2 linked regions of the Danio rerio genome follow. The protein of the gene in region 1 purifies or fractionates together with the protein of each later gene. This does not show direct contact. Links are inferred from orthologs where the notes say so. Each region holds a gene or a part of one and is shown in the gene's direction. Other genes may lie near its edges.

Region 1 (6,661 bases):
GAAAAAAATCACAGGAGGGCTAATAGTTTTGACTTCAACTGTATGTTTATCATTATATATGATAATAATACTATGCTATTAATTAAGCTATAATATCATGCAGTGTAGTTAATAAATAATTCAATAAATAAAACAATTGACATCCCTTCACAGTGATCATTTATACATATTTACATGTTTTCTTTTGCAGGAATCTGCACGAACAAAATCTCGATGACAAAGTTTTACCTCACAGACTTCTCCACAGTGGAACAGTAATGCATGGAGGCACACAAATTAATACATTCATCAGCTCAATAAGAAACAAAATAACATTTAGACCTAAACAAAATATGTGAATCACATGTGGGAGGCATAATATGTGCTTTTAGGGTTCCTCAAGGGATTAGAGTTGGGTAAAACTGCTTTAGAATATTTTTAAAAATGACTTTATTCTTCAAGGGACGAATAATAAAACTTTATTCAACAATTTATTCACGTACGCACATTTACCATTCACATTTATTAAGAAGAAAAGTCAACAAGTTGAGCTGGTGTATTAAAATAGCTGGACTTCTGTTTTTTTTTGTTTTGTTTCGTTTGTATAATTTGAAGTGTTTAAATTCTGTATTTTTAGCTGTTTACTGTACATTGTTTTGTTGTGCTTTTTATAAACTCATATTTTGTTATAAATATTCAGCATTTCATGAAAAGGACTAATATTTCTTATCAAATGGAATTGAGTTTGTCTTTGAGCTTGCTAAACTGTGCACTTTTCTGATGGACAAAATGTATGTTAATTGTTGCTTTAAAGCGGAACTTTTTTTAAAAAAAATTGTCCAAATGAAGTGCTGTAGCCTACTTGTTAATCTCATACATTGGGTATCATGACAGAAAAACTTATACTGTGCTCATTTTTGTATTTGTATTTTGTTTTATCTCCCATACTGCCAAAACCTGACAACATGCAACATGCCAGCTTCATTGCATTGACAAACATACACGTAAGCTGGTTATGCCCAGAACACATGAGAAAAAACAATGTATTTACATAATTTGAATAAAGTTTCAAATATAAAATGCCATTTAATATGAGATACAGAACATATGTAATATTTGTAAGCTGTAATATGATATATGTTTGATAGTAATTCCTGGACAGCCAGTTGTTGTCATGCTTTATCTGAACAATCCATTGAAATTTGTTTGGCTGTTGTCTTAAAATGCAGCAGAAATATATGTAACTTAATGAAATCAAGACGGTAGACTCATTTTTATAATAATGTATTGTACTTTTTTAATTTGTGATGTCTTTTTTCTCTTGGTAATTCAGTTCATCTATTGTATAAACTATTTGCAGTGGTCATCACTTGGTGGACGGTTCCTGATGTTTCCAACTAAAGCATACAAATAAAAGCAATGTAATAAAAGTAATGTATGAAATCATTTTTTTATTAATTCATTTTTTTATTGCAATAACAACAGGCAATTTTAAAAGACTGAAATACAATCAGATAGAAGTATAGCACAAATAATATAAATATTTTTTCAACAAGAGAAAAGGGACAATTTTAAAGAAATATAGTAAACGTAAAGCAAAAGAAAGACAAAGAAGAAACAAAAATAGATGAGAGGGCACATGAAAAAAATAGACAAATTAATGCAGGATATCAAATAAAGCACATATTTTATAAGTTTTAACTGCTTTCTTGTTATGAGAGTCTGTAGTGGTTTTCAAGTGCAGTTGTTATTCTCATTTGGCTTACATTGAGTATATTTACATTTATGAATAAAAAAAACTTTATAATAAATAATATGAGGTTTACAAAAAGTTGAAATAGTTTTTTCTTTAATATAAAACCCCAAAATGACATGTAAAAAGAAAAGAAAATTCACCACACACCTTTTGGAGAGAAGGCTACGCGTCAAGCAAACCTCTGTTGCCACCTCGTGGTCAGTCAGTAACTTGAGAATGTTTTTATAATAAGCCGAATGGAAGCAACCGCAATTGAATCACTTTAAAAAAAACTTTTTTTAATAAGCAGGCTCTTGCTAAATTAGTTTTTCAAGTTTACTTTGAGAACGCGATGAACAGAATGTAACGACTTTGCAAGTTCCATATAAAATCTGGCCTGCGATTGGCTGATCATCTTGTCAATCATCACCACTCTGTGTGACGTAGAAAGACTTCCTCTTCGCGTCTTCCATCGACTGTTGTTCTTAAAATGGCGCCGTTGGACCTGGATAAGTATGTTGAAATTGCGAGGCAGTGCAAATATCTACCAGAGAACGACTTAAAGGTGATTGATCTGAGTAATTTTATGTTTCTCTTAGAATATTGGACATGCTAGCGATTGATGTATTTATAAACTCGTGTTGGTTGTGGCGGAAGGTGTTAAAATAGCAGTGTGTCAGTGCAATGCAGTCGCTGCGTATGAGTCCAGTCTATTATCTTATGTTCCGGGATTGATTTCATTCGTATTTTCAGAAATAATCGTATATAACGTTACGACCGTAAGGACAGTTGGGCATAACAAAGTTGTGTAAGGGACTATTTTCTTGCGGACACATAGGGTGGCTAACTTCTGTTGCTATCATGCGAACTAGTTTGAAACGCCCATTTTATGCTTTCCATCATCAACCTTGTTAAATCTTAATTCATGACATCTGCGTCTTTGTTAGCAGGTTTCAGGTTTGATTAAATCGTCCTCCATTCGTTTGTTTTTAAATATAATTCTTGTACGTAAACAACTGGGCTTCTGGATCAGTTCATAATGATGCAATGCAACGTCTTACCAGTTTCATCCAGTACCGCCAAATATGACACAAAAATAGCAACAGTGATCAAACAAATGATTATACGATGTTGAAATAATGTGGCTTAGGAAAAAAAGCTCATTTTTAAATTAATAAATGTGACCTTAGATGCGCCGCTAGATCTGCTTCTGTCACCATCGTTGATAGCATTCACTTGACAAACTTGTTCAAATCTTGTCTTCATTTCTATTGCTTTGACAGAGATTATGTGACTATGTATGTGACCTTCTGCTTGAGGAATCAAATGTACAGCCAGTATCCACTCCAGTCACTGTATGCGGGGACATTCATGGACAGGTGTGTGTGCAGGCTCCATTAATGCATCCCTGGTATTGATGTTGAGCTGATGTCGTGTTTTTGTAAAAACATGCATACTGACTAAGCTTTTTTTTTTCTTTTATAAATAGTTTTATGACCTATGTGAACTCTTTAGAACTGGGGGCCAAGTACCAGATACAAACTACATTTTCATGGTGAAGTATATTACAACAATAATTTTAATTGATGATTTGTGATTAGTACTGCGTTGGAAATTGTTCCACCATCATCTATTGAGGAGACATTGGTATGTTTTCTTTCATCCAGGGTGACTTTGTTGACCGAGGATATTACAGCTTAGAAACATTCACATATTTGCTAGCACTTAAAGCAAAGTGGCCTGACCGCATCACACTGTTGCGTGGCAATCACGAGAGTAGGCAGATTACACAGGTCTATGGCTTTTATGGTAAGGCTGCAGAAATCAGAGATTTTGAAATATTTTGTTTTGAATTTACTTGGGATTTTAATTGTTTTGGCTTTCTGTCTACAGATGAGTGCCAAACTAAATATGGAAATGCTAATGCCTGGCGATACTGCACTAAAGTATTCGACATGCTCACTGTTGCTGCCGTAAGTGTTGATTTTGGAATACCTATCTGTCTGTCTATCTGTCTGTCTGTCTATCTATCAATCACACATCTCAACATTATCAATATTTGTTTTGGTCTTCTTACTAATGGGCCTCACTCAGGAAACACATGTTTTTGTTTAAATCAAATAATTTTAGGATGTTTTTGTTTAAATCAAATAATTTTTGGATTAATGAAACTGTTTATATTTCTAAGTATGAATTGGTATAAAAGAAATGTAGGAAACTATACATCCAGTTATTGTCTTGCGCTTATCCGGAGCTAGGTCATTGGGGCAGCAGTCTCAGGAGAGAACCTCATACTTCCCTCTCTCTGGGCACTTTCTCTAGTTCCACTGGGGGATCTTAAGGTATTCCCAGGCAAGCGAGTGACAGTTCCTTTAGCGAGTCATTGGTCTTCCCCTTAGCCTCCTCCTGGTGGGACAAGTCCAGAACAGTTCTAGGAAGCATTCAAAATAGATGTCTTGGCCACGTCTCTCCATGTGGAGTAGCGACTCTACACTGAGTCCCTCCTAAGTGATAGAGCTCCCTCACTCCATCTATAAGGGTACCCCCTGCCTCTCTGCGGAGGAAGTTAATTTCGACCACTTGCACCCAAGATCTTGAATTTATAGTCATGACTATAGGGCTGTGTCCGAAATCGCATATTTCCCTATTATATACTATGTGGAAAATCAACATGTAAGTGGAGCAGTTTGTCTTAATTCATATTATTTGGAAAAAACAGTATACGAGAAGTACTTGGAACACCTCTTGCTTCCAGTGAGATTGTGAAGTGTGCATCCGATAACCTCTACACTATCCTATGCGCGCTGTTTGTGTTGCTCTGTAATAACTCTTTCGAAACGCTAGCTGGCAGTGAGGTTTTTATGTTCCTCTGTGTCGAGTTTCTTCACTGTTTTTTTTTTTTTCGCTACCTCAATGTAGAACAGGGGTCTCAAACTCAATTTACCTGGGGGCCGCAGGAGGCAAAGTCTGGGTGAGGCTGGCCCGCATAAGGGATTTCACAAAAAAAAGTCCTCAAATGTCATTATTAACAGTTTTAATTATTTCTTCTGAACATGAAGTGTCCTGAACATTAATAGAACATTGAGTGAAGATTATGAACAGTTCTTCTGAACATGGCATCTTTTGCCTACTCCTTGCTGCCAGAGACTTGACAGCGCTTCTTCTCACAAATCTGAACCACATTTGGCTTTAGAGCGGAAGCAGTTGAGACCCTCAGTATGGCTTGGGGGAACTCACTCAAAACTTCCATTCCCTCACCTAAAAAAAAGGCGTATATGTATAAATAAAACACCCCCACCCCACTCCAGTCACATCAGTCTGTACCAGTCTGTATCTACCTATAATATATATAAGATGCAGGCTGTAGCTAGGTAGGTGGCAGGCTGCAGATAGGTAGCCAAGTGGCAGGCAGGGGCTGGAACAGCTTACCTTGGTTCTGGCCGGCGCGAGTTCCCTCCTAACACTTCCCGCCCGTCACAGCGTCTAACAAAGGGGCGGGGTGCGTGGTGACTTCACCGGCATCCCCGCCCCTTTGTTTACACGGCGGGCGGGGAATGCCAGTGACCGCTGTGTACGGATAGAATCAGCGGAGCGGGGAGCGCTCTCTCTCCCCGCTCCGCTGATTCTGTCAGTGTACAGCGGTCGGCGCGGGCCACAAAATATTGCACTGAGGGCCGCAAATGGCCCGCGGGCCGCGAGTTTGAGACCCCTCAGGGCTCGAAATTGCGCCCATTTTGGTCGCACATGCGCCCGAAAATTAATCTATGCGACCTCATAATATATTTGGGCGCATTAGTGCGACTGCAGATAATGGTTGTAGTGCGACCTGTTTTGATTTTTTGTAAAAACGTGCTGAATCGCTCTTCCCTGCCGCTAAATTGGTTCATATTAGCTTTCATTCACTCAAGGTATTCCGCTGTCAGATGACAGGAAAGGAGCTTTTATGACCACGGGAAATGCAAACGGCTGAAGAGTAAAGACTTAAAGCACACAGGTTTGCAAACCCCACCTAAAGTTGAGGTGCAGATGAGAGCGATCATGACACGTCACGTGGTGAATAATGATCCACCAGCTGAGATCAATTGAGTACGCGCTTCTTGGAGAAGGCGCCCGAATCTCCATGCGTCGCATTCACTGCGTGTTCAGCGCAAATGTCCGCTAAAAGTCAAATCTAATACTGTACATATCATCGCCAAAGAAGCTCGCCTTTACTAAGTTTACACTGAAACTGCGGCTCATAACAAAGAGCGGTATTTCGCCGGTGGTCATCGCAAGAATCCTGCTCTGCCTGCTCATAAATTGGGTCAGCTGACTCGCCTGCTTTTCCACTAACACAGAAAGATGAAGATCAGCTCAGACTGAACCTTTAAATTGACACAAACTGAAACCAAAACTTTTAAAGAGTGATAGAAGTGAGACTTTACTTTCTTTCTTTTGTCTATTCTTTTTTTGAGGTGTATATTATTTTTGATTTATTTACTGATGACTGCTTTGCAGCTTTCATCATTGAATTGAATGATTTATTATAATCTTTTGTTTGTTTTGTAGCAGAAATATTATTTAATAAATTGATGTGCATATAAAAACAGCAGTTCAAAATAAATATTTCTTACTGCAATGCTTCATTTTTGTTCGATGCAAACTATACAGTTATTTTTCATAAAGTAACAGACATTTTATAGCAGATAACATACATTCATGCACATTCAAGGCAGTATCATAATGAGAAATGTAATTCATTGTTACTATTATTGTCATTTTCATCATCACTAATATTCTATAGCCTAATTATTAGACATTCATTTTGGAATTATTTCACACGAATATCAATGTCCTCGCAGCATTAGTTAGATAGTTGTTTCTGGTTTTTGTCAGTCCTATTGATGTTGTTTTAAAATACAATAAATCCCTTAAAAAGCAATTTGCAGCGGTGCTCATTCATTTTTG
Region 2 (6,060 bases), on another chromosome or scaffold:
ACTTCACAGTATCCTGTTGTGTTTTATTAATGTGTTAAACCAACCCTAGACCCAACCTCACAGTAATCTGTAGTGTTTTATTAATGTCAACACCTACCCCAACCCTAAACCCAACCTAACAGTATCCTGTTTGGTTTTATTACTGTATTTCTTTTAAACCAACCTTAGACCCAACCTCGCAGTATCCTGTTGTCTTTTATGAATGTCTACATCTATCCCAAATATTAAACCCAATCTCACAGTAACCTGTTGTGTATTTTGAACATCTACACCTAAACCTACCTTAAATGCAACCTCACAGTAACCCATTGTTTTAATAATGTCCTTTACACTTACCCCAACCCTAAACCTAACCTCACAGTAACCTGTTGTGTTACACCTACACCAACCCTAAACCCAAACTCACAGTATCCTGTTTTGTTCTATTTATGTCTAATACGCCTACACCAACCCTAAACCAAACCTCAGAGTAACCTGTTCTGTCTTATTAACATCAACACCTAGCCCAACCTCATAGTAACCTGTTGTATTATTTTAACGTCAACCCAAACTCAACCTCACAGTAACCTGTTGTGTTTTATGAACATCTTCACCTACCCAACACTAAACCCAACCTCACAGTAACCTGTTGTGTCTTGTAAACGTCAACACTTACCCCAAGCTCATAGTAACCTGTTGTGTTTTAATAATGTCAACACCTACCTCAACCCTAAACCCAACCTCACAGTATACTGTTGTGTTTTATTAATGTATTATTGTATTAATGTCGGTCACCCAGCCTACTTGTTGTTGAATTCCTCCCACTTGAAGGTCTCCGGTCTGCAGCAATACCTACTTGATTATGTTTTTTGGGGAAAACTAAAACTATCCTAAATGTCATTTTCCTTTTCTAAGGTTTGTAGTTCGTTCATAGTGACTAGACTGACTTTATTGCTGATGGCCAATATCTTCCTTATGTGTGCTGTACACAATTATTTAAACAAAACTTTTCTTCTATTATCCTAATTAGCAGCACATTTACTCCTTAAAATTTCTTAGCGTAGAGCCCATGTTGGAGGAAGCAAATTCTCTAAGTTTGAGTAATATTAACACTTATGCTTTCTAACTAACCTCTGTTGTTCACAGCCACCGCTAGTCCAAGCCATCTTTAACGGAGACCCAGATGAGATTCGTGTGCTCCTATGTAAATCAGAAGACGTCAATGCACTGGTATGAGTCAGTTTCTTCTGCTCTTCTCCTCACATGACTATATCTCATCCCTTTGTTACTTGCAGCACAACAGTCGAGGAATCCCATGGAAAGCTGCCAGAGATTTATATACGTTGGTTTCAGTAAAAGCAACAGGACACAAAATAGTTTTCAGGGTTATTCTTCTTCCAGGATATTTATTTATTCGGCTTGCCTGTCTGTGTCCGCCCTAATGGCTCCAGCAAGAATTAGCTTGCTGTCCGAATGTTTTATGAAGAGCCGCCGGTCACGATTTCAGGCTGGATGTGCAAACAGGTTCAGACAATGGACACGCTGAGATGTCACCACTGCCAGTGTGTGTGCACATTAGTGCTACAGGGATTTGTAAAGACTCCTTTGTTGTGCACCGCTTTGCAATGACAGACAATCAGCATATTCTATTAAGAAGTTAAAAAGTCTTAAAAAGGCCCAATTCTCTGTTAAAACGTTTTGACAAATTTTTATCTGCTCTACAATTCACATTAAATGCTTTTTCAAACTATTTCTTTGTCGAATTCATGCAGCATATTTCCAGTAGAAACAGGATTTTAGAGTAAAACATAAGGATCTTCAGGATTTTCTCAACATTCTGTAGATGTAAAATAAAGGTTAATATGAGTAGCCTATTCTTATTTCTTAAATACACTGTAAAACAAAACTAATCTACGTGTAGGTCTACTGTTGGTTAAAATGCTAAAGTTTGTATAGACTTGCATTGGTGGACTTGACTAGACTTTAAATTTGTCCTGGTTGTTAATTCACAGTATAGTGATGACACCAGAATACAACTATTTATAATTATGAAGTTGAATTATTATGTTTGAGACATTTGTCTCTGACAACATTATTAGACCTTTTTATTCCACTGGTAAAACGAAAAATTTGTCATTATCAGATTCCCTCTTGCATTATATTCAACATTATATAGGCTAAAGTAGTTGTAATATTGACAGTGTTGCACATTTATTCTCATGCACAACACTTTGTATTCGCTATGAAAAAAAAAACATATCAGATGCTTGTTATAATCATAACTGCACAATGCGATAGGATTATTTAAATGATGTGCGTGGTTTTGGTTTCACTTTCACTGGTCAGTGCGGCTCATGTCACGGCTGCTGTCACTTTGGAAAAAATAAAGCATACATGGAAATCATATTTCCCATGCGGCTCCCAAAAGATCACTTTAACTGAACGTTACTTACATCTATATTACCTGTTATTCACAGCCTATGTGAATTACAGTTAATATGTTTGTTCACTAAAAGTTGACATCATTCACCAGCACGCGTGTGTCCTCTCAGTAGTAAACAAACAAAATTTGTGATTTCGCAGCTGCAAATACCTCATAACATTAAGACAGAAATGACATTTTCGGGTTAATTATACCTTATGAATAAAGTGTGTGACACTTTTAACACCATTCGGAGGTGTTTGTGTTGCTGAGCAATATATATAAAACAACGTAAAGATTTGTGCGGCACCTTTATGCTTCGCCCGAACTTGAAATATATTTGGCTGAATGGTACAAATGCTGAATTGAGATCTTGTGGGGGCGTTGAATCATGATCGCAATCTTTTTTCGATTAATTGTGCTGCCCGATTTACATGTGCTAGTTGTGGTAGTTGTTTTTTGCTATAGGTAGTTGTAGATGGTATTGAAAAATGTCTGCAATTTTTCCAGACAAAAGTTATTATAGGTGCAAACTTACTGGTAGAAAATATACCACAATTTAAAGAGCTATTTACAAATTTACTACAATTGTAAAGGGTTAGCAAAAATCCTTGTAAAAATATTAGTAAATGTTTACATAATTGACTGTATTTTAAGCTTTGGTGAGCAAAAGCAGAGCAATGCATTATTTCACAAGCATTTAAAAAACAAATAGGCCCTAAAGATTTGAATGGCAGTCATGCGTTTTTCTTGTGTCATTTAAAATGCGTTTCATTCTGTGCTTGTTTGCTTTGCTTGTAGTTGGGGTCCTAAGCGAACTCACGTGGAGTAAAAGCCACAAAACCTTGATTTGATTCAACATCTTCTTTCCACCATCTCTGTCACCTGTCTCTTTTTCAGGATGCTGAGAAACGTGCTCCCCTGCATGCAGCAGCCTTCCTCGGAGATGCTGAGATCACAGAGCTCCTCATTGTGTCAGGTGTTTCTCTCTCCCTCCATTTCTTCATTACCTCAATTCTATAGTAGCTTTATAGACAACTCTTATAAAAAATGCAGTCCTTTAAAAGATTATGATTACTCAAGCTGAAAATTATGCCATTATCTATTTACAATCACATTGTTTTAAATTCTGTGTTTATCTATTTGGAATTGTATCAACATGAGGGTGAATGACAGACTATTTCTTTTGGGTGAACTATCCCTTTACTGTTCAATTAAACATTCCTCATTTTTTAGATATTAATAGTTTTATTTTTCTCTTTTACTACCTCATTTTAGGTGCACGGGTCAATGCCAAAGACAATATGTGGTTGACTCCACTCCACAGGGCAGTGGCATCACGTAGCGAGGTGGGGACAAACATGTTTCAGTGAGAACCAGATGTGTAATAATGTCACACAGCAGGATGCCTTTACAACAATGCTAATCATATGCAGCAGCTTCTGTGTGATTATAAATTAGGGTTGGGCGATGTTGACCAAGTTGGCATCAGATGATGTCTAATGTGAAACATCGAGATGGACGATGGCATCGTCGTCGTAGGGATGAATTACTTATGAATAATAAATTAATTCATAACAAAATAATAAATTGTAGCCTACTGTTTCAACTACCTGACCAGCTTGGTCTTTGTTTTACCCATAACCAAATCATACATAAATAAAGATAAGTTACACACAAATTACCACTTGACAATCACTTTTTCCGCATGAATAGGCAGAGTGGTCTGTGTCGTTATAATGGCTTCCACAAACTTGGTTGATAAAACAAAGTGCACAACCAACATTATCTGAGGTTTTTGCTAAAATTAGTAAGTACAAGCGTGAAAGCAAAAGATTGAAGCAGTGTACTGATGTTGTGACACATTACCTGATCGTTTCAAAAGACTGAAGAGCCGTTAGATAGAGACAAGATTAATTAAATATCATGTTTAGCAACTATAGTGAGACACAATTTAGCGGTACATCTTTAATAAACTGTCAGATGTGCACTGCTCTCTGGGGTTTTGTGCTCAAAGCACCCACTGACTGCCTGGAGCTCAGATGTGCACGTATGCTAGAGAGCATGACAGCGTGTGTGTGTGTGTGGTCACGTGATGTGCCTTTTCAACGTTATAGTGTGGAAGGAGGGCTGTTCAGAAATGCTAATTGAAATGCCCGTGTGGACGTGATTCGTTTTTGTTCTACAATTCCATTTTAAAACTAAGACGTATTAGTGTAAACAGGATCTAAGTGTGTGTTTATGAGCGGGTTGCTGCTGCGATGGGGGCGGGGTGGAGGATCGAGATGTCGGCTCAGCATCGTGATGTCTATCACACATCAGGGATAGACGATGGCATCGTCTGTCGACCCAACCCTATTATAAATGTATTTTTTTAACCCTTAATTCTGATTGGTCACATATTTTCCTACTGTCCCAATATAATGACATGATTTTCTTGAACTATTTTCAGGAAGCTGTTCGTGTGCTAATTCGTCATTCTGCTGATGTTAATGCTCGGGATAAAAACTGGCAGACACCTCTGCATGTCGCTGCCGCCAACAAGGCCCTGCGCTGTGCTGAGGTCATCATCCCACTACTGAGCAGCGTTAACGTATCAGATCGTGGAGGACGCACCGCCCTGCACCACGCTGCCCTCAATGGGCACACAGAGGTACTGCTAGTTGAAAACAAAATTGTGAAGTCCTTTTCAAAGGTGCACTAATTTCATTTTAAAGCGGACCTGCTATGCCTGTTTTAACGAAATGTTAAATAAGTCTCTGATGTCCCTAGAGTGTGTATGTAAAGTTTCAGCTCAAAATACCACACAAATAATGTTTAATAACTCTTTAAAACTGCCTCTTTTATACAAGAATAGACACACTGAAGACACCCATGATCAAGTAGTCTGGTGTGATGATGATGCAATAGCCCCTCCCCCTAAAATAGACTTGACACTGGGAGTTGATTCCTGTCTTGACACTAGAGAGTCCAGGAATTGACTCTTCTGAAGTTGATTCCCCATGCCTACTTCAGTTATTTTGAAAACAGCACACTGAACATTTACATGTATTTGAATAATTATCCATAAGTCACCATCTTTCAAGATTTATCTCACTTTTCTGGACACTCAAAGTGGTTTAATGAACAGTATAGAGTCCCCATCACTATATTAGGGCATTAGGTCCCACACAGACCACAGATTGAGCCTCCCCTGCTGGCCTCTCTTATATATTTTCCAGCAGTAACCTAATTTTCTAATGTGGTCTCCCATCCCAGATGTTGACCAGTTGAAGCAGTGAGCTAGCAGCCGACATTTTAAAGTCTTTCTGAGAAAACTTCCTGAGCACACAGTCCCTGTTGTTTGACACTAATTGTTGGAAATCCATTGTGGCAGCTCCACTATGGCAATTTTTAGATAGGAAGTCACATTCGCTCTGCTACATACACAATTTCCCACATGTTGTGAAAAATCTCAACAATGCAGAATGGGTTTGAAAGTCATTATATAAACTATGACACAAACACATAGAACACAATAAGGCTTCAGGAGACCTGTAATTACTGACACACTCATGCCTTATTGCCTGTTGAGACTGACACACGCACACTCAGTTTCTTAATGTTATTCACTTTCCTCTCTCTTTTTCTTCAGATGGTGAGTCTCCTTCTGGCAAAGG

The links.
Region 2: the proteins of ppp6c (region 1) and ankrd44 purify together in Homo sapiens (affinity purification with mass spectrometry; 5 studies listed by BioGRID and IntAct, counting the BioPlex papers as one, with this or other methods). This does not show direct contact. The link is inferred for Danio rerio from reciprocal best matches to the Homo sapiens genes PPP6C and ANKRD44.

What each region holds. Positions count from the first base shown.
Region 1 is NC_133180.1:32,596,322-32,602,982, forward strand, and holds the start of ppp6c (serine/threonine-protein phosphatase 6 catalytic subunit), read left to right. Parts: upstream 1-2,127; 5' UTR 2,128-2,204; coding exon 2,205-2,279; intron 2,280-2,997; coding exon 2,998-3,093; intron 3,094-3,203; coding exon 3,204-3,269; intron 3,270-3,381; coding exon 3,382-3,523; intron 3,524-3,607; coding exon 3,608-3,687; intron 3,688-6,661. Other genes in the region: myo1hb (unconventional myosin-Ih), read left to right, coding at 191-217.
Region 2 is NC_133184.1:33,817,464-33,823,523, reverse strand, and holds part of ankrd44 (serine/threonine-protein phosphatase 6 regulatory ankyrin repeat subunit B), read left to right. Parts: intron 1-1,125; coding exon 1,126-1,209; intron 1,210-3,301; coding exon 3,302-3,380; intron 3,381-3,679; coding exon 3,680-3,750; intron 3,751-4,853; coding exon 4,854-5,054; intron 5,055-6,035; coding exon 6,036-6,060. UniProt on the Homo sapiens protein: Putative regulatory subunit of protein phosphatase 6 (PP6) that may be involved in the recognition of phosphoprotein substrates.